Canis lupus familiaris: one gene and its partners. The protein of the gene in region 1 interacts with the protein of each later gene in a biochemical or structural test. Links are inferred from orthologs where the notes say so. Each region holds a gene or a part of one and is shown in the gene's direction. Other genes may lie near its edges. The genes, in order: RPA1, ATR, RFWD3 and PRPF19.

Evidence for each region.
Region 2: the proteins of RPA1 (region 1) and ATR form a complex in vitro, tested with the Homo sapiens proteins (2 studies listed by BioGRID, with this or other methods). The link is inferred for Canis lupus familiaris from reciprocal best matches to the Homo sapiens genes RPA1 and ATR.
Region 3: the proteins of RPA1 (region 1) and RFWD3 form a complex in vitro, tested with the Homo sapiens proteins (3 studies listed by BioGRID, with this or other methods). The link is inferred for Canis lupus familiaris from reciprocal best matches to the Homo sapiens genes RPA1 and RFWD3.
Region 4: the proteins of RPA1 (region 1) and PRPF19 form a complex in vitro, tested with the Homo sapiens proteins (2 studies listed by BioGRID, with this or other methods). The link is inferred for Canis lupus familiaris from reciprocal best matches to the Homo sapiens genes RPA1 and PRPF19.

The regions. Positions count from the first base shown.
Region 1 is NC_049230.1:45,954,307-45,961,893, forward strand, and holds part of RPA1 (replication protein A 70 kDa DNA-binding subunit), read left to right. Parts: intron 1-1,510; coding exon 1,511-1,603; intron 1,604-4,406; coding exon 4,407-4,539; intron 4,540-5,883; coding exon 5,884-5,986; intron 5,987-7,587. UniProt on the Homo sapiens protein: As part of the heterotrimeric replication protein A complex (RPA/RP-A), binds and stabilizes single-stranded DNA intermediates that form during DNA replication or upon DNA stress.
Region 2 is NC_049244.1:38,753,559-38,761,857, reverse strand, and holds the start of ATR (serine/threonine-protein kinase ATR), read left to right. Parts: upstream 1-2,833; 5' UTR 2,834-2,910; coding exon 2,911-2,969; intron 2,970-8,240; coding exon 8,241-8,299. UniProt on the Homo sapiens protein: Serine/threonine protein kinase which activates checkpoint signaling upon genotoxic stresses such as ionizing radiation (IR), ultraviolet light (UV), or DNA replication stalling, thereby acting as a DNA damage sensor.
Region 3 is NC_049226.1:76,561,482-76,569,068, forward strand, and holds part of RFWD3 (E3 ubiquitin-protein ligase RFWD3), read left to right. Parts: intron 1-79; coding exon 80-194; intron 195-708; coding exon 709-937; intron 938-4,577; coding exon 4,578-4,728; intron 4,729-6,461; coding exon 6,462-6,638; intron 6,639-7,587. UniProt on the Homo sapiens protein: E3 ubiquitin-protein ligase required for the repair of DNA interstrand cross-links (ICL) in response to DNA damage. Plays a key role in RPA-mediated DNA damage signaling and repair.
Region 4 is NC_049239.1:56,004,595-56,011,996, forward strand, and holds the end of PRPF19 (pre-mRNA-processing factor 19), read left to right. Parts: intron 1-629; coding exon 630-785; intron 786-1,014; coding exon 1,015-1,084; intron 1,085-1,312; coding exon 1,313-1,398; intron 1,399-1,704; coding exon 1,705-1,875; intron 1,876-1,998; coding exon 1,999-2,104; intron 2,105-3,714; coding exon 3,715-3,812; 3' UTR 3,813-4,233; downstream 4,234-7,402. UniProt on the Homo sapiens protein: Ubiquitin-protein ligase which is a core component of several complexes mainly involved pre-mRNA splicing and DNA repair. Required for pre-mRNA splicing as component of the spliceosome.

The DNA.
Region 1 (7,587 bases):
AAAGAAAGAGAAAGAAGCAAAGAAAGAGACTCTGAACTCTAGAGAATAAACTGATGGTGACCAGAGGAAAGGTGGGTGGGGGGGATTGGTGAAATTAGTGATGGAGATTAAAGAAAACAGGTTCTCAGTTTTCCCTCCATAGGAAGAACTAAAGAATAAGCAATTCTGTTTTAACCTTTTTAATTTTATGCTGTTTATTTTACTCTAATGTCACAGATAATAACTCTCATTTTGTTGTACTAGTTAAGAGTAATATTGGTAGAAGGAAATGAAGTCAGTGTTTAGTAGGCCCAGTTCAGTGAGGGCTTTGGGAAACCCAGCAGGAATAAGCCTAGTGATTGGAAAAGGCAGGCAGGGAGCCCTTTCATCAGTCCTCGCCATTTTGTTGCTAGGACTTTCTAGGAAATCTTTTTGAGCTGTACTCTGTGCTGCAGGTACTCTTGGTGAGCAGCCTGGATTAGGTTGACTTCTGCTTTCAGTGCCCCTCACAAAGGCAAAATCAAATTCCATAAATCAATTATTTTTAATTGGGTATATTTTGCAGTTTTAACATTCTTCAACTCATAAACATTTGTAGAAAGGGTGAGGGGCAAATAAATAGTCTCATGGTGTGGGATTTCTTATTTTCCGCTTGAGAGACCTGTTCCTTTCCCCTCCTTTCCTTTTAATCTTTCTGTTTCCTTGACACACCTGCTTCTGAACTCCATCTCATCTCTTCCTGCTGTGACAGTTCACTAGCACTTCACGGTACCTAAGGCTCTTTCAACTCTTATTTTCCATCAACTGTCAGTTGCAAAATAAGGTTGCTTTGTTTGGGAAGGAAAGGGTAGAATCCTTTCTGAATGTCTCCTTTTCCTTTGAAGCAGGAGCACTTCAGAGACAATTGAACTGCTTTTAGGCTTTTCTTACCACCCAGCTTTTTCTTCTGATAGATCCTACCTTGAACACAATTATGTTGATGGCATCGATCTGTTGCTATGGAAATAGTGATGATGTCACAGATTCAGCCAGTGACTTGACTTCAGGTTCATGCAGGAGAAATGGGCAAGACTTTAGGGGAGAACCTCATTAAAACTGAAAGCTATTGGGACGCCAAGGTTGCTCAGTGGTTAAGTGCATCTGCCTTCTTGGGGCGTGATCCTGGGGTCCTGGAATCGAGTCCCACATGGGGCTCTCTGCATGGAGCCTGCTTCTCCCTCTGCCTGTGTCTCTGCCTCTCTATCTATCTCTCATGAATAAATAAATAATTTTTAAAAATCTTTTTTAAAAATCCGAAAACTCAATTATAAGCAGGTGAAAGGTAAATGGAGCCAACCTTTTATATAATGAAAACAGATGTGAACTCTTAGCAAATGGACTGCATGTAGTTGAATACCCCAGCATGAATTCTGACCCATGAGAGTCTAACAAAATAAAAAATTTACATTTTCTCAGAGTATTTCTTCTACTTAAGTTTAAATCTTTTAGCCTGAATTATTTGCACTAAAATTGTTTTTCTTTTGGTCCTCAGGACATGGGCAGCAGCAGGCAGTTCCTTCTCCAGTCTCAGCAGCCAATCCACCAGCCAACAAGCCCCAGCAACAGAATGGGAGCTCAGCAATGGGTAAATGGCCACATGAAGACATGTGCTAGATATATGTATCAGGCTTCTGAATAATGTTTTGAAATTTAATCTGGGACTAAAGGGAATTTTTCAAAATCCTGATCATGATAGTTGGTTCTTGCAGAGGGGAATTCCAGTTCTTACTATAAAGTGTGTGATTGAAGAAATGATTAAAGATAGTCTTTTAAAGATACTTAATATGCCTATTTTCATCAGAATGATATACTGTTCTCTGTTAATAATTTATTTGGTACTTTCTCACATCCTACATTTTATTACACTCTTTTGACTTTGTGAATTTACATACCTTTAAGTTCTTGCCTTTTAACTATTTGGAATCCACTTGTCTCTCTCCAAGTTTCCCATTCGGGGTTCTCATAGGTATTTATCTTAACGTGAAGATGGTATCATTTATGTTGGTCCTAGGTTCTGTTTCTCAGTCTCATGGATGAGAAATCTTCCTTTACCTGTCTCTTGCAATACGGTCCTGAGAGACTGTAATGGAATCATTTTGTTTACTTTCTTCCCTTCACTTGAGGAACTATTAAAAATGAGGATTTGGGTTGGATTTATTTTTAGAGGTTCTTTTTTCTGTCACAGCTTCTTATGTCCCACCTCTTCTCCCCTCAACTCTTAATTACTAATTTTCAGTGCTGAAATTTTAAGAAAAGCAAGGTTAAGACGTCACTAATGTTACTGTGAAACTTTGAGGACATGGGACTTTTTCCCCTTTGGTTTTTTATGTTTTTATCTACTTTGCAATATCTGTCAATCTTATCTTCTATCTCCTTTTATAAGTGGATCTATTTATATATACAACTTGCAAGTTATGTACTGTTGAAAGAGGTCATGAAATAGATTTAGTATCTAAAGTGGTGAATAATCTAATAATTAGTCACTTCCTTAGGCTGAACTACAAGTAGTATGTTATTCCTCTCCCTCCTCCCACAGATGTATTTTCCCAATTGTCAATCTTTGGCTTATATTAACTTTTTTTTTTTAATTTGTTTTTTGAAAGAGAAAGAGAAGAAACAAGCAAGAGAGCACAAGCAGGGGGAGTGGCAGAGGCTGAGGGAGAAGCAGGGCTCCCTGCTTGCAGGGGCTTGATTCCAGGACTCTGGGATCATGACCTGAGCCGAAGGCAGAAGCTTAACCAACTGAGCCACCAATGAGTCCCTAACATTTATTTTTAAAAATCAATTAATGTTGTCTAAACACACATCAACTGGGTGGTGAAAGAAAAGAAGACTATATTGAGGGGAAGTGTGTGTATGTGTGTTATAGAACTATATCTTATAAAAAAAAAAAAAACTATATCTTATAGATAATATTAGGTATATGTACACATGCATATATTCTTCAAAGTTCATGTGCTTCTTGCATAACTTTGAGGCAATTATTACTGTCGTATGTGTAGTTTTCTCTTGACTCCCCAATTAGAATAGAATATGTTAAGATCCAGGACAGTCTCTGTATAGTTTTTACTAAATACTGCAAATACCTAGAATGGTGTCTTACAGGTTTGGAAACTCAATAAAGAAATGCTGAATAATGGTAGATTTACATTTCCAGCCAAATTCCATCCTAAAGAAATGCTTTGGTAGAGAAGATATGAAGTAATTGGACTGAATTGTTTTCTGAGTTTGGAGGTTGAAACTTCATAAAAACTGCATATAGGGCAGCCCGGGTGGCTCAACAGTTTAGCACCGCCTTCAGCCAGGGCCTGATCCTGGAGACCCAGGATCAAGTCCCACTTCGGGCTCCCTGCATGGAGCCTGCTTCTCCCTCTGCCTGTGTCTCTGCCTCTCTCTCTCTCTCTCTCTCTCTCTCTCTGTCTCTCATGAATAAATAAAATCTTTAAAAAAAAGAAAGAAAACATTTTTCTGAGGATGTTTGAGGTAAAATATTTGTGGTAGGACCCTTCACCTCAGATGGTTCATCCATTATGTGCCTTACCTCCTAGCCTTTCCTTTTGCTTTTTTTTCTTATGCAACTAGTGACTTACTGTCAGTATTACCAGTCAAGGAGGTTGCTTGATTTTCTTTCTCTAACCCATTATCTTGCCCATTGATACAAGAGGACAGTCTAAGAAAGATGGGCCAGAACAGTGTCTGGACTCACCAGAATTACTATCTTGACCTCAGTCAGAGCTTAAGTCAACAGATAAAGTAGTAAGCTTCTGTGTGCCCAGGCTTCATTCACAGTTACTTTCCTAGCCTCCTGTTTTGGTCTCTGTTTGTTTTTTGGGTTTTTTTGTTTTGTTTTTTTTTTTTTTGCTTTTGTTTCTAAGATTTTATTTATTCGTCAGAGACACAGAGGCAGAGAGAGAAGCAGGGTTCCTGCAGGGAGCGGATGTGGGACTTGATCCCAGGACCTCGAAATCATGCCCTGAGCTGAAGGCAGACGGCTCAACTGCTGAGCCACCCAGGCGTCTGTGGTCTCTATGTAATCTCCATATCTCTTTGATTACTAAAAAGGCAGAGTTTTGCTTTCATTTTATATTTCACCAGTGACATCTCAGTAATTGAGAGTTATTACAACATTTGTTTAAAATTTACATAGAATAGGGCAGCCCTGGTGGCTCAGTGGTATAGCGCTGCCTTCAGCCCATGGTGTGATCCTGGAGACCCGGGATCGAGTCCCACATAGGGCTCCCTGCATGGAGCCTGCTTCTCCCTCTGCCTGTGTCTCTGCCTGTCTCTCTCTCTCTCTCTCTCTCTCTCTGTCTCTAATAAATAAATAAAATCTTTTAAAAAAATTCAGATAGAATAATGATGATCCTCCTTTGTGTTTGTTTTTAAAGGTTTCACTGCTTCTAAGACTTACAGTGCCTCAAAGACATTTGGAAAACCTGGAGGTACCAGCCTAGCGAGTAGTTCTGGAGGGACACAGGTCAAAGTGGTGCCCATTGCCAGCCTTACTCCTTACCAATCCAAGTGAGTTACGCCATAGAGTAAGCTCAGGATATACCTACAATATGATGTTAGAGGTTATTATGGGCTCTTGAGGTATTTATGTGTGAACTTCAGGGTTACCATATATAAAATAAATTTCATCTTTTTTTTTCCTTGAAAGGAGAAAGAGGGTACAAATTGTGGTGACCTTTGACTCTCTTACCATGAAAGAATGGCAAGAAAAACAATCTACAATAGCCTATAGAGTTTCATTTGTTTTGAAAGAATTTTAATTGAAAAATACTTAATGTTTAAAGAATCCATTTATTGTCTTATGAGAAAAAATAAATATTTGTTGTATTTCAGAAGGCATTTCACCTTCTATGATATATAAGTGACTTTTAGTCTAAAAATTGTTACTGTGATTTAGTTGACTAAGAGAATCTGTACTGTTTGTATAACCATATTAATATACCCTGAACAGATACTAGTTATATATATAATTCTTTTCCATTAAAAGTTAATTTTGGGATCCCTGGGTGGCACAGCGGTTTGGTGCCTGCCTTTGGCCCAGGGCGTGATCCTGGAGACCCGGGATCGAATCCCACATCGGGCTCCCGGTGCATGGAGCCTGCTTCTCCCTCTGCCTGTGTCTCTGTGCCTCTCTCTCTCTCTCTCTCTGTGACTATCATAAATAAATAAAAATTAAAAAAAAAAAAGTTAATTTTAGCAGTTGAAAATCAGTTCTCTTTTCAGAATTCTTTTAGATATGTTATCTAATCTTCAATTCTTTGCAGTGCAGGGAAAATGAGTAAGGTAACCAATGTGCCCAACACTTGCGTTCAGTATCGGCACCAGGACTGGATATTGGATCTTGTACCTCCTTTTTTTAGTGGCCTCTGTCTGAGGTCATACTGCTTTAGTGTGTTTTCTTTTGGTGGCTTACCAACACTGTCCCATATTTATATTCATTGTGGGCTAGAATGGACAGAAGTTTGACACCAGTTTGATCAGTTCCCATAATTGAAAATAGTGGCAAAATATAATTGCTGTTATTACTGCATTTTCTAGCTTAGAACCTTTCATTAAGGGGATACTGTTGCCTTCGTGTTGCTTTTTGGAGAAGGGAGAGCGTTTATAAATTTGCTAATTTGACAGGAGAATGAGTTAGTGTTAAATCATCTGATATGTTTTATTACTTGCTTATTCTATAAACTGTCAAACCTGTATGTCATCTTGGGGTTTTAATCAGTTGGATTAAAATACAGCTTACGTTGAAAAATGGAATATGCATAAGGTAAGAAAGGCTATAGGAAGATAATAGGGAACCTTTTAGATCTTTCCCAGTTAAGACCTGAGTACTAATATAATCTATTTGGTTTTTAGGTGGACTATCTGTGCTCGAGTTACCAACAAAAGTCAGATCCGTACCTGGAGCAATTCCCGAGGGGAAGGGAAGCTTTTTTCCATAGAACTAGTTGATGAAAGTGTGAGTAGTTGTCAAGTGGGAAAATACGAGTAGTCTGAGAAAGAGAGCTCATCTCTGTGTAAGCCTGTGTGATGAAAAACAGCAGTAGGCCAAAAATAAACATGAATATTGTTGTTTTTCCTCCTCTGTAGGCTTTTAATGCTGTCTGGGGGCAAAGGGTTAAAGGTCTTTTTTTTTTTTCTTCTTCAGAAGGGGAGGTATAGGGGGAGGGGCAGAGGGAAAGGGAGAGAGAGTTTTTTTGGGTTTTTTTTTTTTTTTTTTAAGAGAGAGAGAGAGAACCTTAAGCAGACTCCACTCCCAGCTTGGAGCCTGACACCAGGCTCAATCTCACATCCCTGAGATCCTGACCTGAGCTGAAGTCAAGAGTTGGATCTTAACCAACTGAGCCTGCCAGGTGCCCCAGAGGGTTAAAGCTCTTAAATAAAATCCTTTTAGTTTATTATATGTTATGTTTTTCTGTTTTTTAATTTATTTTTTCTTTTTAAGTAGGCTCCATGCCAAAATGGGGCTTGGACTCATGATGATCACCAGTCATATATTCAGGGCACCTGGCTGGCTGGCTCAGTCCATAGAGAATGCAATTTTTTTTTAATTGTTTATTTATTTGAGAGAAAGAGGGTGTGAGCCAGGGAGTGGGAGGGCAGAAAGGGAGGGAGAGAATCTCAAGCAGGCTCCCCACTGACTGTCTCACAGCCCTGAGATCATGACCTGAGCCAAAACCAGGAGTCCAACACTCAACTGATTGAGCTACCAGGGCACCTCTAGAGCATGCAACTCTTAAAACAAATAAAATCTTTAACAACAACAACAACAACAAAAGGTCACATACTGTACCAATGGAGCCAGCCAGGTGCCTTTAAAATCCTTAATGTTAGTGATTTTATTTTTAAGTAATCTCTACACCCCACATGGAGCTTGAATTCATGACCCCAAGATCAAGAGTCACACAAGTCTAAGCATTTATAGCAATAGAATTTAGTTTTTAATTGTTTGAGCAGCCTCATGAGTAAGAGAAAGCAAAGACACTCTGTCTGACCTGTTTGCAGGCTAAACTGAAGGCCTAAGAAGTGATGTCTGCTTATAAGCAAAGTGTTTCTTTGGGCCACAGCAGAAGGCATGCACCAGCCACCTTGAAAAGTGAATGGTTTTGTGGGAGGTGGATTCTGCATGTGCAGACTCTGTGCTTCACTTAAACAAAACCAAACCATGATGAAGAAACAAAAAAATCCAAGTTGTAGAATCTCAACAGTCTTGTTAGCTGTTTCTCTGTTCTGTTTATAATTCTTAATATGTACTTGACATATTATTTTTAAGCTGCTGCATATTTCCTAGTGGTTCAAACTTCTGAGAGGGTAGAAAACATAGGTGGTTTGTTTTTGTTGTTTGTTTTGGGAAGATGGCCCAATACTCCAAATATACTGACTGTATGGTGGCAGAATCAATATCAGAACCTAATTTTTTTACCAGATTATCGGTCTAATCTATCAGTTGGCTAAAATTTCAGCCCTTTGTTATAAGTTTCTTATCCATCTATAGTTGTTTTTGTTTTAAGTACTCTCTACACCCAACGTGGGGCTTGAATTTAGAACCCTAAGATTAAG
Region 2 (8,299 bases), on another chromosome or scaffold:
CGAATAAAAAGGTTGGGAGGCTCCAGTGCAGATAATTGACTGGAAGGAAAAGCTAAAGTAAGTGAGGTAAACTAGAATGTTGTGGGAATAATTGTGATGGTCTGAAACTAGAATGGTGGTGATGGGATTTGGAGGGAAGTAGATGGGTTTGCTTATTTCAGAGGCAGAATTGAATCCTTATCTTGAAGAGATATAAACTAAAGTATTTATAGATAAATTGATTTGATGCTGGAGATTTTCTTTAAAATAATCCCACTAGGGAGAAGGCAAATGGGAAGGGTGGTTATAGATGCAGCAAAAACTGGCCATATGCAACAATTGTTGAAGTTGGGTGATAGCCACAAGGTGGTTCCTTATTCCAGTCCCTCTACATTTTTGTATATTTGAAACTTTACATAATACAAAGTTGTGGGTTTTTTTTAAGATTTTTTATTTTATTTAATCATGAGAGACACACACAGAGAGAGAGGCACAGGCACAGGCAGAGGGAGAAGCAGGCTCCATGCAGGGAGCCTGATGTGGGACTCGATTCTGGGTCTCCAGGATCAGGCCCTGGGCTGAAGGCAGCGCTAACCCGCTGAGCCACCGGGCCTGCCCCATAATACAAAGTTTAATAAAAATAAAGTACCTGGGAAAAATTCCAGGTAAAAATTTCAGTAAAAATTAGACATGTGAAATAAATATAAAGCCCAGAGAGAGATCTGAGCAGAAGCAAAGAATTTGGGAGTAATAAGCTGTTGGAAAGTTTACTGAAGCCTGAAGTCACCTAGGAATAAAAAGAAGAGAAAGGAAGCCAAGTTAGAATCCTAAGGAATAACAGCAGTTAAGAGAATGGCAAAGAAAGTGTTGTTAACAAGAGAGTAACATAGGCCAAAGGAAGAAAATATCCTCACTGCTAAATGCTGCTGAGTGGTCACAAAAGGACTGATCAGTATCTTTTGACTTTAGCCATATATGCATATGAAAGTCGTTGGTGACTTTGATGAGAAGCACTTGAGAGGGGGTGGTGGGTAGGGCAGAGATAATAGTTTATGTAGATTTAGGACTTGAGTGGGAGGTGAGGAAATAGAATCAGCCTATATGATAAACTCAGAAAGTTTAATGGGGGGAGAGAAATAATGGGTACCTTGAGGGAGGATGTCTGGTTGGAATAATTGTTCATTTATTGATATACTGCTAAAGAAGTTTGATTTCTTAAAATAATCTGCTACCTTCCTTTTGTTCTGACCTGCACCCTCCCGCCAGATCTGAGTGTGGCTTTGACTGTCACTTTATATCAAATCTTCCAGTGCCTCTTCAGTGCTTACTGAGGTTTGTACAAGGGTCTCAGCGGGACTACTCGAAATGCTCCCTAATATCACCTGAACTGGACCACTAGTCTCTCCCTCCATATGCTTTTTGTTCATACTGCTGCCTCTAATTAGAAATATATTCCTCTTCTCCAATCTTTGTCTTTTCATATCCTCATCCTTCACCATCCCATCTCATTCTCATCCCATCCATCTCCAGGAGAATGTGGTGCCTCATTCTCCTGGAGCCCCTTCCTCATCCACCTCCTCTCCACACAGTATATTTAATCTCTTCCTCTTATATTTTTCCAATGCATGTTTATCTCTCTCATGGCATTCATCAGATTCTGCTTTGCTTTTCAATTTCTGAATTCCTATGATGTCCTTCTATATCCAGTTTGCACACTACTTGAGACTTCATCATCCTCATCTTTGTGTCACAGAAGTACCCCCCCAAAAAAATCTTGCATAAAAATAACTTTTTGAATAAAATTGGATTGCCAAAGCTCTATTGTTTCCAATGTTTCTAATGTATACTGCCTTTCAGAATTCCAGTGTTATTTTAGTTTTTGCCTTCCACATAACATTGTAGTTTTTATAATCTTTCTTCCTATCATCTAAAAATACCTAACATCTGTTGCTTTTTCGTTGGTCGACTTTTTCATATGTGCAATCTAATCTAAGCTTTAAAAAAGCTGGCACCTGGGTGGCACAGCTGTTTGGGCGTGGGACTCTTGGATTTGGCTCAGGTCGGGTCTCCAGGATCAGGCCCTGGGCTGAAGGCGGCGCTAAACTGCTGAGACACCCGGGCATCCCCGAAATCCCTTCTTAAATTTTTTTTTTTTTTAAGATTTTATTTACTTATTCATGAAAGACACAGTGAGAGAGAGAGAGGGGCAGAGACACAGGCAGAGGGAGAAGCAGGCTCCAAGCAGGGACCCTGATGCAGGACTCGATCCCGGGTCTCCAGGATCACGCCCTGGGCTGAAGGCGTCGCTAAACCGCTGCGCCACCCAGGGGATCCCCGAAACCCCTTCTTAAATATTAAAAGTCGGGAATAGCCTCAAGAAAGTCTGACTTCACGTGGGAAAAACACCCTGCCGAAACAGGAAGGACAGGGAGGAGCCCCGTATCCCGCTAAAAGGACGCGCGGCGAGGGGTGGGGGGGCCCGGGATCGAGTCACGCCTTCCACCCGCCGGAGGGTCTCAATTCTCCCTTTCGTGATGCGAGGGAGGCCGGTCTGTTTCTTTTCCAGAACCCGGGGGAGGTCTCGCCTCGCCGAGCCTCCTAGGACGGGGGCAGCCCGGGGTGCCCGCGAACACCCCAAACTCGCCGCGAACCACGCCCCCAGCGGGAGCCGCGCTGGGAACGTGCCCCCTGCGCGCTCCGCCTCCTTGGCCCCGCCCCCTTGCCGGCCCCCCGGCCTCCCCCGGGTCCTACGCGGAAGAAGAATTCCGGTCCGCAGAGCGTGACTGAACGCGGCTTCCGGGAGGAGTTTTGGGCCTGGCGAGACACCGTCGGGCGCCGCGCCTGCCCCTCCCCTCCCCCCAGCCCCGAGGTAGCTGTGGAGACGCCGGGAGGCAGCGGCCGCGCGGTTGACGAGGGCCGCGCATCCTCAGCATGGGCGACCACGGCCTGGAGCTGGCGTCTATGATCCCCGCTCTGCGGGAGTTGGGCAGGTAGGGCCAGGCCCGGCCGCTCCGGGTGCCGCGTCTCCTCCGCCCGGCCCGGCCCGGCCGGCCTCTCACGTGCGCTCCCTCCCCAGCCGCGCGCGTGCCGGCTCCGAAACCTTCAACCCCGGCCCCGGGCGGTGTGTCTCGCCAATGGCTTGAGCACGTCTCCCCCCGAGACGGGGTTAAAAATACGCGGGCGTCGCCGCAGACGTTGGGGAAGCAGGTCTAGGGCCCGAGAGGGGCTGTTCGCCGAGCCCACTGTACCTCAGCGGCGCCCGGGAGCCTTGCCCCCCCGCCCCTTCTGACCGCTCGCTTCCTGCAGACCTCTTTCCTTAGGTGAGGGACTCGACCCAGGAACTTGCCCCATTTTCTACTCCTTGTGATCGCTCGTGGAGGAATTGGGTTCTTAGCTTTACGTGTTGACCCAAACTGCCCCTCTTTGACAAGAAAAGAATCACTGGTTCGTGTGGTGTGGAAGGAAGGCCAATTGCTAGAAAAGGCAGTTTGGTCTTCTTCAAAATGAAAGCATAGGCCGTCCTGAAGATGGGCCCCGTTTCCTGTTGGTCATCCAGCGCCCAGTCCGTTTATTTTAGTCAGAAATCCCAGGGATCTGCCACGACGTCCCCAAAATGTAAATGTGCACAAGATGTTGCCAGAGTTTAAAAATAATTCAATACTGTTTCATTTGCAAAAGCCCGCCTTCTGTAAACGGAACAGTAAAATCACGTAAACCACCGTCCCACCTGAAGAGAGGGGAAGGCTGTTGCTGGCTGGCTGCCATCCCCCCTTCAGCACACTGGCAACTTTCCCTCAACCAGGCCTAAAGGAGGGAGGGTTTTTATTTTGCTTGCCTTTTTTTTTTTTTTTTTTTTTGAGTTTTAACCCATTGCGAAGAAGAAATAAGTGGGTTTGTACCACTAGTGCAGTTGACCTATCAGTTGGAGTAATTGCTTTTTGAAAACTTAGCACACAAAGTCAGAGCTAACAGAAAATCTGTGGGGTATTTAATTCCTTTCTTTTTGGGGTGCAGATGTATTCATCTCCACTTGTTGGCCATACAAGAATATTTAGTCTTCTTCGATCACATAAATAAGAGGGTAAATGAAGAAACCACTCTTGTTTTTACCGAATCATCCTGTTTTTGTGTTTTTTTTTTTTTTTTTCCCCGCTTTGCATGAATGTTGCAAGCCTACTTTGTGTTAACATTTTATAAACTAACATGAATACAAGCGCTCGTTTTAGGACATTGAAGTACAGATTTCATTTTTGAGGCTCAATGTGAAGCTCAATATTTTTTTTTTCCTATTTTGTTTTCATGTAGAATTAACTAATGCCTTTCTACCCTCTTTTTTTTTTTTTCCATAATGAGAGTTGTTAATAAAAATAATAGTATCTTGGATTTATTTATAGTCTCTTACATCACCGGAGCTTACGTTACTTTTCTTTAACAGTCGTGAGTTTCTCATTTTAATTGCTTCATTCCTGCCTATTCAGTCTCACAGTATCTCCATGATGTAGAATAGAGTACATATTATCACTATTCAGTAAGAAACTGAGTCACAGGAATTGAAGAACCAAAGTCAGAGGTAGCCATTATCAGAGTTGGGTTCCAGATTCATGCAATCAAAGCCTTTTCTCCACCCCCATCTTTTTTTCTCATTAATTGACTGGCAATTCAATTTCTGAAAAAAGTGAGATGTTAACTGTTCTAATGTGTGGGCGGCTCTGTCTCAGAGATGAATTTTGCTTCTGTTTTTTGCTATGAGCACTCTTTTCTCTGCCTAGTCTTTCAGGGTGATCCCATCCACTGTCTTTAACTACTATCTGCCATTTAATGACTGCAAATATGTTTCTCCAAACCATATCCATTTCCTATAGAATATTTTTTTTTTGAAGATTTTATTTGTTCATGAGAGACACAAAGAGAGAAAGAGGCAGAGACACAGGCAGAGGGAGAAGCAGGCTCCATGCAGGGAGCCAGATGAGGGACTTGTTCCCAGGACTCCAGGATCATGCCCTGGGCCGAAGGCAGGTGCTAAACCGCTGAACCACCCAGGTGTCCTCCTATAGGATATTTATACAACTGTATACTGGCAGTTTTAGCTGGGTGTCCTATATGCCATTAAGACAACATAGCTGGGCACCTGGGTGGCTTAGTTGGTAAGTGTAAGACTCAACATAGTCAATACAATTTCTTCACGTATCCTAACCTCCCTTTTTTTTTTTTCCCTCTCATTCACTGAGGTAGGGACATCTCAGTAAGTGATACCATGGTCACTCTGTTTTCCAAACCAGAAATGTAGGAATCATTCTTGATTCCCCATGTGACTTTGCTACATCCTTTGTCCTCTTTTCATCTTTACTCTCTTCCTAAGTAACTTCATGTAGTCCCATGGCTTTAAATATCACTTATATTCTGATAACTCCCAAATATTTATCTACCCAGAGATATTAGGTTGCTTACTGTTGAACATCTGTACCTGAAATGAAAATTTACATCATTACATCTTGATTTATGTTCTTAAACTTGGTTCCTGCCCCAGGTTATTGTAAATGTGCCAACCAAAAACCCAGGAATTTTTATTTATTTTATTTTATTTATTTATTCACGACACAGAGACAGACAGACACAGGCAGAGGCTGAAGCAGACTCCGTGCAGGGAGCCTGATGGGGGACTCTGATCCCGGACTCTGATCCCCTGTCTTCAGGATCACACCCGGGGCTGAAGGTGGCGCTAAACCGCTAGCCGGAATTCTTGATTCTTTCTCTTATACCCAAAAAATCTTATCAGCAAGTCCTGACAATCCTACCTTTAAAATACACTTGTCACTGCCGCTATTCTTGTCATTTCTTATCTAGACTATTACTGTAACCTCTCAGCTTATCTCTCCATTTCCATGTTACCCACTCACTCAGTGGATTTCTCACTCAGCAACCAAAATGATTTTAACAACTATAAATTATAGATTATATAGCATTACTCCTCTGTTTAAAACCTTCTTAGTTTTCCAGCACACTTAGGTTAAAATCCAGACTTCTTCCCAAGACCCCTACGGTCCTACATAATCTTGCCTCTGCCTGCCTCTGACCTCATGGCCATATATCCTTCCCTTACTCTGTTCCACTGGCATTGACCTTATTTTTTGTATGCCCCAAGGTCATTCCTACTTTCAGTGCTTTGCTTTTTGCTGTTTCTTCTCTGAACAGACCAGTTTCATTCAGATCTCATTTTGGAGAGGTCTTCTCTGGGCTTTCTGTTTAAAATTAGTTTGTGACCACAAGGTATTTTCGGATAATGATAGTTGCTATTAAAATATTAAATGGGGCAATGGGTAGGAGATGAAAGTCTAGGGAGCATTAACATTAGCCACTAGAGGGGATTTGAATGGTGAGAAGAAGCCAGTCATGTGAACTGGGAGAAGTATCTGAGATTGAATGGGAAGTTTAAAAGTCTCCAGGTGGAAATGAGCTTACTTTTTAAAGAATAGGAAGGACGAAACAAAGGAAGCAAAAAAGGGACTGGTGTGAGTTAAGGGTGGAAGAGTAACCATGGGCCAGATCCTTTAGTATCTTATAGGCCAAAATAAGGAAAATTTAAGTGCAATGGGAAACCTTTGGAATGGTTTCAGGAAAATAACAATTTAATTCAGGTTTTAAAAAGTTTACCTTTCACTCTCCTAATTGCAACATTTCAGTGTCTCATTGCTGTCAGTACAAAATCGAAACTCTTTAGTTGCTTCTTTGAGCTTTGATACAGTTTTTCTTCAGCTTCATCTGCAATTACTCCCTCCCCCTTTTTTAATTTTTATTTCTTTTATTTATGATAGTCATAGAGAGAGAGAGAGAGAGAGAGGCAGAGACACAGGCAGAGGGAGAAGCAGGCTCCATGCACCGAGAGCCCGACATGGGATTCGATCCCGGGTCTCCAGGATCGCGCCCTGGGCCAAAGGCAGGCGCTAAACCGCTGCGCCACCCAGGGATCCCCCTATATCTCCTCTTAATATTTATTTTTCTTGATTGGTCCTAATAGTCAATATATGTACTTTTCTCTAATATATTTTTTAAAGATTTTATTTATTCATGAGAGACACACACATGAGAGAAAGAGAAGCAGAGACACACGCAGAGGGAGAAGCCGGTTCCATGCAGGGAGCCTGATGTGGGACTTGATCCTGGGACTCCAGGGTCATGTCCTGAGCCAAAGGCAGATGCCAGTCGCTGAACCAATTTTCTCTAATATTTTACTAAAGTCTCATTGTGGAAAATTTCAGAAATCCAAAAGAAGGGAAAATGGTATATCAGTTGCTCATTTTAGCCCAATGATTATCAATTCATTGCTCTCTTCCTCTCAACTCAGATTATTTTGAAGTAAATTCCAGAAATCATTTTATCTATAAATATTGGTATTTAAAAATAAATAAATAAATATTAGTATTTATCTGTAAAGGATAAAGACTATTTAAACATATCATAATACCATTATCACACCTAAAAATGATTTCTTAATAACATCATATCTAGCCTGTGTTTAAATGGTCCCAGTTGTCATATACAGTTTGCTAAAAGTTTTATTTTTGTATTCTTGTTTTAGGGTTTTTTTTTTAACCAGAATCAAACATAGACTCATAAATTGTAATTGACTAATATGGCTTTTAAGTCTTCATTATAAGTTTCTCCTCTTTTTTTTTTCCCCTTGGACTTCATTTGTTGAAGGAATTGTATTCAGTAGATTTTCCAGAAGTCTGGATCAATACTGCTTAATAGAAATAAAATGCAAGCCACATGTATAATTAAAAATTATCTAGTAGCCACAAGACAAAAGGTAAAAAGGAAATAAGTGAAGGTAATTTTTCATAATATATTTTACATAACTCAGATACTGTCATTTCTACATGTAGTTAATAGAAGATTATTAAAGAGATATACATTTTCTGGTACGAAATATTCAAAACCGAATGTGTATATTCTACCTAAAGCACATCTCAACTGGACTAGCCATATTTTAAATGCTTAATAGCTACATAAATAATGACTACTATATTAGTCAGGGCAAGTCTAGATTTTGCATATTGAATGCTGTGGTTTCATTGAGCATATTTTTTTCCTTCTAAATCAGTAACATGTATTTAGGTTTTTTCTTTCATTTTTAAACAGTAGGATACAACAAGTGTCAACATTAAAACTAAACACATTTGATAAATTCAAATTTAGGGAATTTTTTACAAATGATATTGTCGATCTCCTTAAGGTTTAAAAACTTTTTATTTGTATTTTAGTGCCAGTCCAGAAGAATATAATACAGTTGTACAGAAGCCAAGACAAATTTTATGTCAGT
Region 3 (7,587 bases), on another chromosome or scaffold:
ATGAACTTAATCTGATGTCTTGATGAGAAGTGTTCTGTAGCCCTCCTAATCTTCTCCTGTTGTTGGCTTCCTCTTCTAGTTCCTTACTAAAGGAGCAGATGCTAAGGAAGCAGGCGGAGTTAGAATCAGCACAGTGCCGGCTCCAGCTTCAAGTACTCACTGACGAATGCAGCAAGCTTCATAGTCGTGTCCAGGTGAGTCTGCCCTTTCTAATCCAGAGAACTTGGAGATAGGAATGGCAAAGGGATCTAAATACAACTTTGGTTCATCTCACATACAAGTAAGAATTTACCAAGTTTTTCAGGAAGTAAGCAAGACTAACTCTTGATTCTGTTTTTGATTAAGAGCATTTGTCTGAAGCGTATACACTTTAGGATCAATCCTGCAATTTGAACTTTTAAAAAATTAAACAGCCCACTGATAATTCGAATTTTAAGTCATTTTACCTCCCTGAATGTACCAATAGAATGAGGGCTTTAGACAAGATGCCTAGTAAAGACTTTCAGCCCTAGTATTTTATGATCTGTGCTCTCTTTAGTTCAGCTGCTTGTTAAAATACTGTGAAAACTGCAGCAGTGCTCTGGAATTCATGTCAACATTTTTTCCATGTAATAGATAAGAAATGTCCCCATGTTAAATGAAGGAATTATACATGAGGGGAATAGCAAATGGAAAGGCTTCACATTTACAAAATCTTTTTCGTTTTAGGACTTGCAGAAACTTATCGTGCAGCATCGGGAGCAGATTTCACAGCACCCCAGGGGCTCCCAAGCATGTTTCCCAAACTGCCTGCCCTCCAGCCAGAGCCAGCACAAGTACCATTTCCAGAAGACCTTCACAGTGTCTCAGACAGGAAACTGCCGAATCATGACATACTGTGACACTCTGAGCTGCCTGGTGATGTCACAGCCTTCCCCTGAGGCCTCCTTCCTGCCAGGTGAACAATCCAGAACCTCAGCTTTCATGTTCATTGATCTCCTTAATTGAGACTTCACTGATCTCCTTTTTTTTGTAGAATCCAGGACTCACTAGTGGGTGACCACTGGCCATGGCCCACCAAATCAGCTGTTCTAGTCTGTTAATGCAGATGTAGCACTCTTAAGGTGCTACAAAGATATCTTTAGTGTCCCTTGGTTTCATTCTGTAAATATATTAACTAAGAGCTCAGAAATGCTAATTAATAACTGTGATAAAGAGAAGATGAGGTACTTGGAAGCATGGGTTACTGATATCATCCGAGGAGAAGAACATCCCTATATGTCCTGTTAAAGTCACAGATTGATGGGGGCACTTGACTGGCTTAGTTGGTAGAGTATGAGACTTGAATTTGAGACCCATGTTGAGTTACAGGGTTTACTTAGAAAAAAAATTTTTTTGATAAAAAATAAATAAATAAAGTCAAAGATTGATTTTAGACTAGAAATTTTTAAGATTTTTTTTTTTTAAAGTAATGTCTGCACCCAACATGAAGCTCATACTTAGAACCCTGAGATCAAAAGTCACATGCTCTACTGATTGAGCCAGCCAAATGCCCCTAGACTGGAAATATTTTTAAAAACACTATCCAAAAAAAAAAAAAAAAACCACTATCCAGGGATCCCTGGGTGGCGCAGTGGTTTAGCGCCTGCCTTTGGCCCAGGGCACGATCCTGGAGACCCGGGATCAAATCCCACGTTGGGCTCCCGGTGCATGGAGCCTGCTTCTCCCTCAGCCTATGTCTCTGCCTCTCTCTCTCTCTCTCTCTCTCTCTCTCTCTCTCTCTCTCTCTATCATTAAAAAAAAAAAAAAAATACTATCCAGAGGTGCGTGGGTGGCTTAGTTGGCACAGCATCCAACTCTTGATTTTGGCTCAGGTTGCAGTCTCGGTCCTGGGATTGAGCCCCACATTGGGCTCTGCGTTCAGTGGGGAGTCTGCTTGGGATTCTCTCTCCCTCTTGCTCACTTGTACTCTCGCTCGCTCACTCGCTCTCTGTCTCTCTAAAATAAATAAATCTTCAGAAAAGAAAAGCAAAAATTACTATCCCAAGGGCTAATTCAAGTTGAAACAAGATTTAATACTTATTTTCAGTAGTATTCAAATTGACAAATTCTAAATAAAAGAATTTGGCAATGCATTGATTAAGAATTGATAATAATACGGGGATCCCTGGGTGGCGCAGCGGTTTGGCGCCTGCCTTTGGCCCAGGGCGTGATCCTGGAGACCCGGGATCGAATCCCACGTCAGGCTCCCGGTGCATGGAGCCTGCTTCTCCCTCTGCCTGTGTTTCCGCCTCTCTCTCTCTCTGTGTGACTATCATAAATTAAAAAAAAAAAAAAAAAACAACAACAAAAAAACAAAAAAAGAATTGATAATAATACGGTAAATACTAATTTTTTTCATGTTTGTGCTTTTTAAAAAGCTTAACTTTAGATTGTCTTAATGTTGAAAACCAAATCTCATATGCCCAGTTAAATCATTCTAATTTTTGTAAATGTTTCTTTCCACGATCTTTAGCGTGTGATTTCTCCCAGCTGCAGGTCCTTTGGCTTCAGCCTGATTTCCTTCTTACCCACTTACAAATTCCATTCAAATGCTTCAAAACTGTGTCCTGGGGATCCCTGGGTGGCTCAGCGGTTTAGCGCCTGCCTTTGGCCCAGGGCGTGATCCTGGAGTCCCAGGATCGGGTCCCGCGTCGGGCTCCTGGCATGGAGCCTGCTTCTCACTCCTCCTGTGTCTCTGCCTCTCTCTCTATGTCTATCATAAATAAATAAATAAATGAATGAATGAATGAATGAATAAGTAAATAAATAAGTAAATAAATAAATCTATCTATCTATCTATCTTAAAAACAAAACCTGTGTCCCCCTAAACTTAGGTATATACAGGATTAAAAGTAGATTCCTAAAAAAAAAAAAAAAAAAAAAAGTAGATTCCTAGACTATTGTGTATTTTTCTGTTTACTGATAGCTGGGAGTTGAGAGAAGCTCTGGTTAAGGGGAACATAAAAGAATTGTTTCGCTGAGTGAAGTAAGTCAGTCGGAGAGGGACAAACATTATATGTTCTCATTCATGTGGGGAATATAAATAATAGTAAAAGGGAATATAAGGGAAGGGAGAAGAAATGTGTGGAAAATATCAGAAAGGGAGACATAACGTAAAGACTGCTAACTCTGGGAAACGAACTAGGGGTGGCAAAAGGGGAGGGCAGGGGGTGGGAGTGATTGGGTGACGGGCACTGGGGGTTATTCTGTATGTTGGTAAATTGAACACCAATTAAAAAAAAAAAACAGGCAATTTTCCAAACCAAAAAAAAAATTGTTTATAATGTTTCTATTCCCATCCACATCTTTAATAAAAGATTTATCAAATAAAACCTTTCGTATAAACTGGGAAAATACTTACTTTTTAAATTGTTCTCCCAATTGAGTATGATCTGTTCCTTTTTCCGTAATACATCTATTCCACACAGCATAGCTAGCTCTTGAAAGCCTTTTGGTACTAATATATCTTTGTTTCCTTTGATAATTAACTAGGTCAGTATTCGTGTTCCTTGTTGATTGAAGGCCTGTAGTTTCCCTGTTTGTCTCTCTAGCTCTCCTAATTAATTCTGTTTCAAGAGAAAACACAATAAACTTTTCTCACTTTGTTCCCCAGATAGGCTGAAATGTGACTCAAGGCTATCCTGAATTCTAGGATTTGACAAATTCTGTTTGTGGATAACTTGAATAATAATAGATACTTAGTAAAAATAAATACATTATCAGAGCCTAGGAAGAGAAGAGAGTAACAAATAAATTAAAAAGGACAAGTTTGGGGGGGAATTTTTTTCCCCTTTGGAATGCTGCAAATTGATTAGAATACTTGAAGTGTCATCTGTTTTTATTCCATTCAGATAAATGCCATTTCTTGACCACCTGACATAGAAATCACATATCTCTATTCCTTATTGTTCACTCTCTCTGTATCTTCACTGGCTGTGGATCTCTATATTAATAGCTTTATTGAAATAGGACTGACATGGAATAATTTGCACATATTGAAAGTATATAGTTGGATGAATTTTGATATATGTATATACCTCTGAAACCATCTCCACAATCAAGATAACATACCTCATGCCCTTTATAATCCATCTCCCCCATCTGCCCTTACCCCCTCTCCTCATCCCTAGGCAGCCACTGATCTATTTTCTGTCACTATACATTAATTTGCATTTTTTAGAATTTTACATAAACACAATCATACATAATCATAATCATTTTTTGTCTGGCTTCTTTCAGTATAAAGTTTTGGAGATTTGTCCATATTATTGTGTATATCAATAGTTCATTTCCTTGTATTGCTGGGTAGTTATTCCATTGTATGTTATATACATGTACGTATAGTGGTTTACCCATTCACCTGTTGTCAGATATCTGGAGTGAAATATACTTCTTAAAATAATTATGACCTTGGGGAATTTTTATTTTCTTCGTTTAACCAGCTGTTTTCCAGGAATTTAGATGCCAGGAAAGCTGAACAGAGAGCTACTTGAAAAGGTAGTTTACTTTGCCTTAAATTGACTTTCAGTGATTTCATGCTCTCTCGTCATTGGCAGGCTTTGGCGTTAAGATGTTGAGTACTGCCAACATGAAAAGCAGTCAGTACATTCCCATGCATGGCAAACAGATCCGAGGACTGGCTTTCAGTAGTCGGTCCAAAGGCTTACTACTCTCGGCTTCCCTAGACAGCACTGTGAAGCTAACCAGGTGAGTGCCTCAGGGAGGAAGATGGGGCCTGGGCTTTTAGTGTTGAACTGCATAGAAATATGGCAGTGTTTCCGTGTTAAGATGGCCTTAACTCTTTTTTTTTTTTTTTGGTCTGAGGCGTTGTCTTCTGAGATCCAGAGTCATTGAATTTTTTTTTTTAAGATTTTATTTATTTATTCATGAGAGACACAGGCAGAGGGAGAAGCAGGCCCCATGCAGGGAGCCCGATGTGGGACTTGATCCCGGGTCTCCAGGATCAGACCCTGGGCTGAGGGTGGCACTAAACCGCTAGGCCACCCGGGTTGCCCAGGGTCATTGAATTTAAAATGTATTGCTTTTCAAAGTAGATACAATAGGCTACAAAACAGTATATGCAATGCCCTGTTTCTTTAAAAATGATCTGTATCACAACATACATCTTAAGCCAGGCAGATGAGAGAAACACCCTAGAGATGGTTGAATGACAATATGGAGGGAGCCTTGGTACTGGGCACCACGAGGTTACCTACCAGCTTGGAACTGCTTATTCCTGGTCTGTTACTGGGATCCTCCTGCTAAACAAAAATACTCTCCAGGAGCTTACTGTCTTGAGGTGTCGTGATTTCTCTCTCATCAGTAACCCTCAGTTACTGTATTTTATCCTTCATGTGCCCTGCAACTGCTATGACCCAGATCTGAATGTGCTGAGTGCCTTCATCTTTTAGAAAGTAGTTCTGATCAGACATCTGATGGTTGGCTTCCTGTTCTGCAGTTAAATCTGAGGCACATCATGATATCACTATCAGGCCTGATAAGCCTTCTGACTTTTTAAGAATGCTTCAGCTTGGGACACCTTGGTGTCTCGGCGGTTGAGCTCCTGCCTTCAGCCCAGGGCGTGATCCTGGAGTCCCAGGATCGAGTTCCACATCGGGCTCCCTGCATGGAGCCTGTTTCTCTCTCTCTGCCTATGTCTCTGCCTCTCTGTGTGTGGGTGTCTCATGAATAAATAAATAAAATCTTTTTTTAAAAAATGCTTCAGCTTAGCCCCAAAACTCAATATAACATTGTTTTATATTTATGTATGTGTTGTGTTTTTTCCTAGTGGTGTTAAAAAATAGGTGAAAAAAGTGCAGGTTAAACACCAAAGTGACATTAATGACTACCTCTGGGTAGTTATGGGTAGTTAGTTTTGTTTTTCTTGTAGGTAAATTCTAATTTTTTAGCGTTGAATATTTTACCATTGAATACCTGTATTATAGATAATTATGGAGAATTGAGGTAGAGTGGGGAATGTGCTGTTTAAATACCTTTTTAACTTATTTTATTTTCCTTACATTTCAAGAGGAAAACTTACATCCCCCAAAACAAATAATTTGTAATTAAAAGGGGTTACTAGGCAATCCCTAGAGAAACTTAGAAATCCCAAAATAGTTTGGATGTGTGGGTATGTTCTTAAGATTATCATTGGGGGCATCAGGGTGGCTCAGTCAGTTGAGTGTCTACCTTTTGCTCAGGTCATGATCCCAGGGTTCTGGGATTGAGCCTCACATTCAGCTTGCTGCTCAGCAGGAAGTCTGCCTCTCCCTCTCCCTCTGACCTCCACTCCCCCCCCCCCTTTGTGCTCGCTCTCTCACTCTCTCAAATAAATATCATCTGTTTTTTTAAAAAGATTATCAGTGAAATGATAATTTTTATATCTTTTTATATATTTGATTTTCTTAATGCGTAATTGTAAAACTCCTATATCTCCACAGCCTAGAGACAAATACAGTGGTCCAGACATATAATGCAGGACGTCCTGTCTGGAGCTGCTGCTGGTGTCTTGATGAAAGTAATCATATCTATGCCGGTCTGGTCAATGGTTCGATTCTGCTGTATGACCTTCGAAACACGAGCTCTCATATCCAGGAGTTAGCACCCCAGAAAGCCAGGTAGGGAGCCACTTACTTTTCCCTGTAGGTAGCAGCTTTCTGTTGGATATGAATCCTCTCTTTTGAGAATGTTTACATTTGGTCAGAATTTCTCACAGAGGGCAGTTCTCTGAGTCCAGTGATGTCTTCTCATTTTGGACTCCCTAAGATCCTTTGTATGTGTTCATGATATTTCTACATGGTAGAAAGTCCTAGTACCAAGTACAGCCAGGTTCATACAGTCACTCATCACCCAACATGGCAAAATGAAGTCAGATCTGTGTTCAAAACCCAGTTCTACTGCATAGGAGCTGTGTGACCTTTGTCACGTTTCTTGGCTTGTTAGAGCTATTGCAGAGGAAGAGATCAGTAAAAGGCCTATAAAAAAAAATGATTTAAAACTTCCCTAACCTCCAGCTAAACAAACTTGGTCTAAAGATACCATGTTACTATGATTTATCATTTATAATCCAGTTACAGAATTGGGAGATTTTTAGAGTCAGCCCAAATTCTGAGGATGGGTGGCCACCTGCACCACTATGACTCTTCAGAATGTGTTGAGTACCATTTGGGTGTAATATTCTCTTAAAGGCATAAATTTCTCAAAAGGAGAAGTGGTGGAGTCTGACTTAGGCCAAAATGAGAAGTATCTTAAAAGAGAATTTCTATTTCCAATGTGAATATATTTTGAAAGGGGGGCAGGGGATCTAAACAGAAAGATACCACTATAGTAACGATACAGTAATTGGTTACTAAACCTAGGCTCAGCACTTTGGAGTCTTTTCATTTGGGTGGGGTAGACTCATGCTTCAGTTATGCGGGCCTGAAGACAACTGATGTAAACTTTTACAGATGTCAACTCCTAACAAACACGCTAACTGCCATTGATGTAGAGGGATCCAGACGGAGTAGGCAAGAACATGGAGCAAATAGCAAGGAAAGGGTATTTGTATGTAATGTTCATTTCTGC
Region 4 (7,402 bases), on another chromosome or scaffold:
CTGCTGAGTGTTAATGGGTTATTTCTCTTATGAAATCCTGTTGACGAAAGATGGTAGTTGGTTCCACCTTACAGTTTTTAATGTCCTAACCCAAATACTTGGTGGGCAACACTATGTAAGTTCTCTCTCTGCCTCAAATTGTTCTGAGGATTAGCTTGCCCTTGCAGTGCTGAAGTATGGGAGGCACTGGAGTATGCCCTTGCAGCCTTTCCCAGGCCAGTGCTGTTCAGTGCCCACGCGATCCCTGACAGTAGCCATTAGCTGCATGTGTCTATTTAAACAAAGTAAAACGAACTAAAACAAGAAAATCAGTTCCTCAGTTGCACTAGCCACGTTCCTCTGTCTTGTTCAGGGAACGGTGTGGGAAATTGCTGTCTGGAACAGCTGTCCTTCTTACCACTAGGTAGTTAGGCCTCCTCATCTAGGCCAATGCTGTTTGATTTACCATTTTACATAGTACTTACTGTTGGCTCTCTTAGGTATCATTAGGTGGGTGGATGGTTTTAGGCAGGACAGGGCTGAAAGAGAAGCAGTTGTTGGGGTTATGGCCGTCCCTGGCTCCCCTTTGTAAGATTGTTATGGTCCATCTCTTCTGCCTTTGATGTTCTGCCTCTTTGCTTTCCTTTCAGGAGCTGGTGTTTTCTGCCTCTCCAGATGCTACTATCAGGATTTGGTCAGTCCCGAATGCGTCCTGTGTGCAGGTGGTTCGGGCCCATGAGAGTGCTGTGACAGGCCTCAGCCTCCATGCCACTGGGGACTATCTCCTGAGCTCCTCTGATGACCAGGTGTGTGGTCCCAGCCCACACCCCGTAGAGGCCAGCTGGTCTCCAAGCTCAGGAAACCTCCTGGGAGGAGGGAACATCTTACCAACACCAGCTGGTTCCCCAGAACCCCAGAGGAGAATGTTCCTCTGCTCGGAGGGGCTAGCTTTGCCAGGGTTTGCCTAATGAGGGCCCCTGCCTTCCTAAAGGGCACCCGCTTTCTTATTGGCTCTGTTGTCTCTGTGTTTTTCAGTACTGGGCCTTCTCTGACATCCAGACAGGGCGGGTGCTCACGAAGGTGACAGATGAGACCTCTGGCTGTTGTAAGTTGCTGCAGAGGGGCTGGGTTCTGTCATTTGATATTTATTATTTATTTTTATGTTTTATTTAGTCAGTTGCTTATTTGCTTTTAAAATACATTTACTGTAAGCCCCTCCCGAATGCCAGGTGTTGGGGTGGGCGCAGTGTGCAGTGTGAAGAGCGAGGAACCTCTCGCTGTGCTTCTTTTTCCTGTGGGCTCTGACCACAACTCCCATCTCCCTCCCCTACAGCTCTAACCTGTGCGCAGTTCCATCCTGATGGACTCATTTTTGGAACAGGCACCATGGACTCACAGATCAAGATCTGGGACTTGAAGGTAGGACATGGGAGCCTCCACCTAAGGCCCAGGCTCTGAGTTCTTGACTATGCAGTGTGATTATGTGCTGACGGCACCTGGCCCTGGGGCTGTCACAAGGGTAGAGAGACCGTGGCGCTGTGTGTGTGTGACGTGATAGGTGTGGTCCGGGGTTCTTGGGCTGGGCCATCTGCTTCCGCTGTTCCTGCTAGTTGACCTTTCATAAAGGCTGGAGGAGGATGGCTCAGAGGTAGGTTTTTGGTGAACGCCATCTTCTCCCCCTCATGACCAGTGGATGACGTTGTGCTATCCATCCTCAAACTGCAGGAGCGCACCAATGTGGCCAACTTCCCCGGCCACTCGGGCCCCATCACCAGCATTGCCTTCTCAGAGAATGGCTACTACTTGGCTACAGCGGCTGATGACTCCTCTGTCAAGCTCTGGGATCTGCGCAAGCTTAAAAACTTCAAGACGCTGCAGCTGGATAACAACTTTGAGGTATGCCCCTCCCTCCCCTGCTGCTCTTCATTTGTACTCATCGAATCATCTGAGCTGCCTCTGTTGATCTCTGACTGCCTCGTAGTTTCTGTTCTCATGTGACCTCTCTCCTGGTTCCAACAGGTGAAGTCACTGATCTTTGACCAGAGCGGCACCTACCTGGCCCTTGGGGGCACGGATGTCCAGATCTACATCTGCAAGCAGTGGACAGAGATTCTTCATTTCACAGGTAGGGTCTGGACTCCGGGATCCCCAGGTCCTGGATGCCCTGGTGCAGAGCAAAGAGGGCAAATACCACTGGGCTGGGAATTTCTAGGGGCAGGCGTGAGTTTGCTTGGGCAGCTTTTCATCACTACCTGAGGCAACTGAGTTGAGTGACTAAGAAAATGAACTCAAAAATCATACTGCTGAGCATTAAATCCTAGCTCTACCACTTCAGGTCCTCTTCAGGTTGTGTGACATTGGACAGGTTACCTAGTCTCTCTGGGGAATGCTAATAGTGCATATTCCATGCGGTGCCAAGGAGGTTTAGATGAGTTTATGTATACACAAAGTCCTCTGTTTAGTGTGTATACATGTAACCTGAGGAAGTAGCTGTGTATATGCGTGTGTACAAACACATACGTAAATAGGACAGCGCCTGGCACATATTAGGGATTTGCCCTTATTCAGCATTGCATCATTCCTGTGGGATTGGAGCCATGACTGAGATCTAGGCCTTGCACTAATGGAATTTCCAATCAGCCTAGAGGAGCAGATGTGAGACAGGTTTACAAATAATCATTTAATTGTTGTGAATGCTGGAGAAGAAAAGTAGAAGGGGTGGCACAGTGGGTGATAGGACTGCTAACCTAATAGCTGTGTGGTCCTGGGTACCTCAGTTTCCCTCTGAGAGCTGTAGCTTCTTCCTTTTTTTTTAACGGTCACATTGATACTGCTTTGCAGATTGTGCCAGTTGGTGACATAGACGTGGCACGCACAGGGACAGTGTGCCTGTTGCACGCTGGAGAGCTAAGCAGACGGCAGCTGTTGGCTGTCTCTGTTGATGAAATTCTCATCCTCATTAGCAGGTTGTGGGCGGGGCCCAGGATGCTTCTCCTGCCCCCACATTCTGCTGAGCCCTGCTCAGTTTGTATGCTGCAGGGGTGTCCAGGCCTAACCGTGACCTTCACTGGGCTCCGGTGTTTTGGAGTTGAGCGAGGCGGGGTAGTGGGCTGGAAGCACAGCCTGGGTTCTGTAGTCGGGGCCCCAGGTGTTATCCTAAACCTAGAAGGAATTTGCTTTGCTGCTTGTGACTACCGGAATCCAGGAAGGTGTGTCACCCAGCCTCTTGTGCCCTCAGCCCACCCCTGCCCTACCCTGTGCCCTAGGTCGGAACCCGTGAGCTAGAACTTATTGACAGACTGTCTCACTTATAAGAAAGGAGGTAGAAATAAATACATATAATAGCATTGAGGTTTTAGATTGAACAGAAAACTCAGCTAAGTTTTTAAAAATAAGGTGAGAAGTGGAAGAATGAGACTATGTCTGCTTGGTCTGTCGCTCTCTCTGCCAGCTCCCAGTGGGTTCTAGTAGCACTTGAACTGAGCAGAATTGCAGCAGCCCCAAAAGCTCAGATGAGGGGCAAAGCTCAGGTGAGGGGCGCTGACATTCCTCTGTTCACTCAGCCCACAACAAGAACTCGAGTGCCTACTGTGTGCCGGGAACTGAGTAAGGCCCAGGGCACAGGTGGTGTGTAGGCCAGACTAGCACCCTGCCCTCGGGGGTATCGGGGTGACTAGGAAACACTGAGCACTGACCCGGGGAAGCCTCACCACTGCCTCTTGTCTCTCTCCTCAGAGCATAGTGGCCTGACCACAGGGGTGGCCTTTGGGCACCACGCCAAGTTCATCGCTTCAACGGGCATGGACAGGAGCCTCAAGTTCTACAGCCTGTAGACCCTGGCCCTGCGGATCTGGGAGCTGGGCCTCATCTCAGTAGAGGGGTAGAATTAGGGTGGGGGGAGCGGGGAGGAAGGGGAGAGACTATTGGGGGAGGGGGGGTCTCTGGGGCGGGGCATTCACATCATTTCACTCTGGTCTGGGTGGTGACCTGAGAGCCATGGCGGCGGGGACCACCCTCATCCATGCCACCTCCAGCCTGACAGGAAGGATCACGGGAGGTAGAACTGTCACCCTGTGAAGGCTCTGGTTGGAGCCCAGGGCCTCTCCCCTCATGGTGTTCATTGAGTTGCTTCAGTTCCTGGGAGATGGGGAGAGGCTAAGCCAAGGGAAGTGTGAAGGGGATGGGCGTGAGGGCTCTTGCAGGTTTTTGTAAGCAGTGATTTAGTTTCATTAAAAAAAGAAAACAATAAATGTAGCACTTTCCTGTGTGTGTCTCTAAAGGGAGCCCCAAGCTGGGAAGGTCAGGGGGAGGGAGCACATTTGCTAGAAAGACTTTTCATGTCCCTGCAGGCCTTGACCTTGTGTTTCTAGGGTCTTAAGGGTCTCACTCGTGCCACCACTTCCTTGTGGGTTTGGCTTCTACAGCAACTGAGAGCAACTGAGACAAGAGGGAGAAGTGAGGGAAGAATAGCTTTTTCTTGCCCATGAGGAAGTGTGAACATATCAGCAAGGACTCTAATGCTGTGGGTGCTACAGAACCTGCCCCAAGCCAACCCAAAAGATTTTTCAAACTAGCTTTTGAATATGGAAGGAGAGCTGGTTCCAGGGAAGACAGCCAGAAGAGTAAATGAACATAGAAGATCAGATATCAAATGCCTCTTGGAGTGAAAGTAGGGCTCCTTGGCTGCTGCAGCTGGGGTGGCTTCTTTCATGTGATAACGAAGCTGAAGTCTTAGTGCTCTGGAGCTGAAATGGAGGAGGGGTCTTGCTGGCAGGGGAAGCTTCTAAAGGAGGGGATGATCAGGGTGCGCAGAGGGGTAGGGAGGAGGACAGGGTGGGGTGGGTGGCTGAGGGAGGTGTTCAGGAACCTGGGGGAGAGCAGTCCAGGAGTGTGTTGGGGGGAGTGGGAACTGTCATGCATTGTGCTGGGGCCCTGGGGCAGTGGGTCACAGCACAGTGATCTACACTGGTGCCTGCAGAAGACTCTGCACATGTTCTGCTGGGTCAGTGGTCCATGGTCAAGAAAGCTTGGGCATGCTGTCCTCTCCCTTGGAAGCTCACAATACTTATTAGCGGGTAAAGCCTTTGAAAACTGCAAAAAAGAAACCCTTTAACATTTGAACCCAGTTTCCACAGACATCTGACTAGGATAGCCTTTGTGCGTGTGTATCTGTGATCATCAGGGGAACTGGCCTTTGGAACACACGCCAAAGTTGTAGCTGTTGCAGACAGCGCTGCGGGGGCACCTTGGAGTGCCAGCCTCTTGTTTGTTCAGGTCAGTTTTACCGCAGGACACCCAGGAGGGGAGTGACCAGGCGGCGTTTGGAATACCTAGAGGTTTTCCCACATTGGCCAAAGTAAGGCCAATTTTGAGTATACCGATTTGAAATGTGTGGGGTTGTCCCTTTTTAAGAAAAGAGCCGTCATGCAGTTACACTTCAAAAGGAGGAAGGGATGGAGCTATGGTTTGCTGGGGGTAGAGCGGCCCCTCCCAAGGTGGGGGAAGGGCAGACTGGACCCTGAGCTAGCCCAGCACCTAGCCATTTGGCTGCTTCCTGGCTGGATGTGAATATGTGTTGTTAGGCTGGTTTCATTTCCAGGAAAACTGCTAAAGAGAAAGAGGGAGGTTCTCAGGGGATCTGTGGGTTGGGAGGGGCTGTGGTATGAAGCATGTGTCCTCTCCATGCTTACGTGCAGTTTTTTGACAGGGGAGGGGCTTGGAGTACATCTCAGAAGATCTCCAAGGGACCACCATCCTGTCCCACCCTATTTCAAACCACTGCCCTGGAACTGGGGCATGGCCCTGCTCTCTTGGCCTTGGAAGCCTCATGTTGGCGTTAGAAGTCCTAAAGTGCTTTCACTCTGTCCTGCCATCTGTCCACTCATCTCAGCTGTGTGCTGGACACTCTATGTACATTCTCTCCTTTTACTCTTGAAACAACCTTGTTTTTAGCTGTCCAGCTGAGCAGCTTCCAGGGAAGACCCATGGCCCTCCCCCTCCCCTGCATTCTGGGCTGTGAGGCAGGAGTGAGGCAGGAACGTGGAATCCCAGCTATGGCACTTTTTAGGCTGGGGCCCTTGGCCATATTATTTGACTTCTCTCTGTTCTAGTTTCTTCAGAAGTTGAGGATACTGTACCTGGGGTATTGTAAGGCTTAGATGAGTTAGTCCCTAGGTAAGTTTGTAGACTGCTGGGTGCACATGATATGTGCTGTGTATATTGTGCCAGCTGCTGCCACCAGCTGCTACTCCTGCCCCCACTACTGCTGCCCCTCCTCGTGCTGCCACCCTTCCTGCTACACCACCCCCTACTGCTGCTCCACCGCTAAGGAGTGGTGCTACCACTCCTGTTACCACTTATGCTCACATTCCTGCTGCTACCACCATTGATACAGCTACCACTTCTGCTGGTACCACTTCTGCTGCTGCCCCCCTACCACTGTTCCTCCTCCTCCTCACCCTTTCACTACTGCTGCAACTGACCCTTGAACAACTCAGGCTGGAACTGTGCAGGTCTACTTACGCATAGGTTTTTTGTTTTTTGTTTTCAATAAATCAGTACCGAGTGTATTTTCTCCTAAGATTTTCTGAATAACATTTTCTTTTGAGATTACGTTATTGTCAGACGACAGTATATAGCACATGCACACATATATCTTTATCACCTGTAGACGTTATCGGTAAGGCTTCTGGCTATTGGACTATTACTAGTGACATTTTGGGGAAGTCAGAAGTCATACATATATTTTCATCTGCTTGGGGGTGTTCGAGAGTCAGCTGTATGGCTTCTACTCCTGCTAGCACCACTGTTAGCACTGTCACTGTTTTTACCAGTGCTTGTACTACTACACTGCTGCTGCTTTTACCATGACAGCTATTTCTGTCCTGCTACACTGTTTGCTCTCCCCGGATTCTCCCTCCCTAAAGATGGGCTCACTCCAGGAAGCCACTTCTGCCCATCCCTGCCCTGGCAGGTGAGTGACCTCCCTTGGCCACGGTTCCCAGCTCTAGCAGAACTCTGATTTTGGAGGTATTTATGCATTTGTCTCTTTCAGCTAGATTTTCATTTCAAGGGCGGGGTCGTGTACTCAGTGCTGTCTTTTCCCCCCTTTTGACCTTATGTCAGGTTGCAGCTAAGGGGCAGACAGATTCAACCTGGGCTCTATCTCAGGACACAAAAGCAGGGGTTGACAGTCTTGGTTATTTTGGCCATAATGGAATGGAAGCTGCCACCTCTCCAGCCTGGGCTCAGCCGCCGTGTGGGTGAAACTTTGGCAATAAGGTCTGTGTTCAGTGGGTGGATTGGGGTTTGGTGGATTCTCACAGGGCTTTGCCTTTTCTGGAACCGTATTGTCAGGCTCATGAGTTTTCTATTTAGGGTCTAGGAGTAGTTCTAGGGATGTGAAGGGAAATTGTTTGGGGTG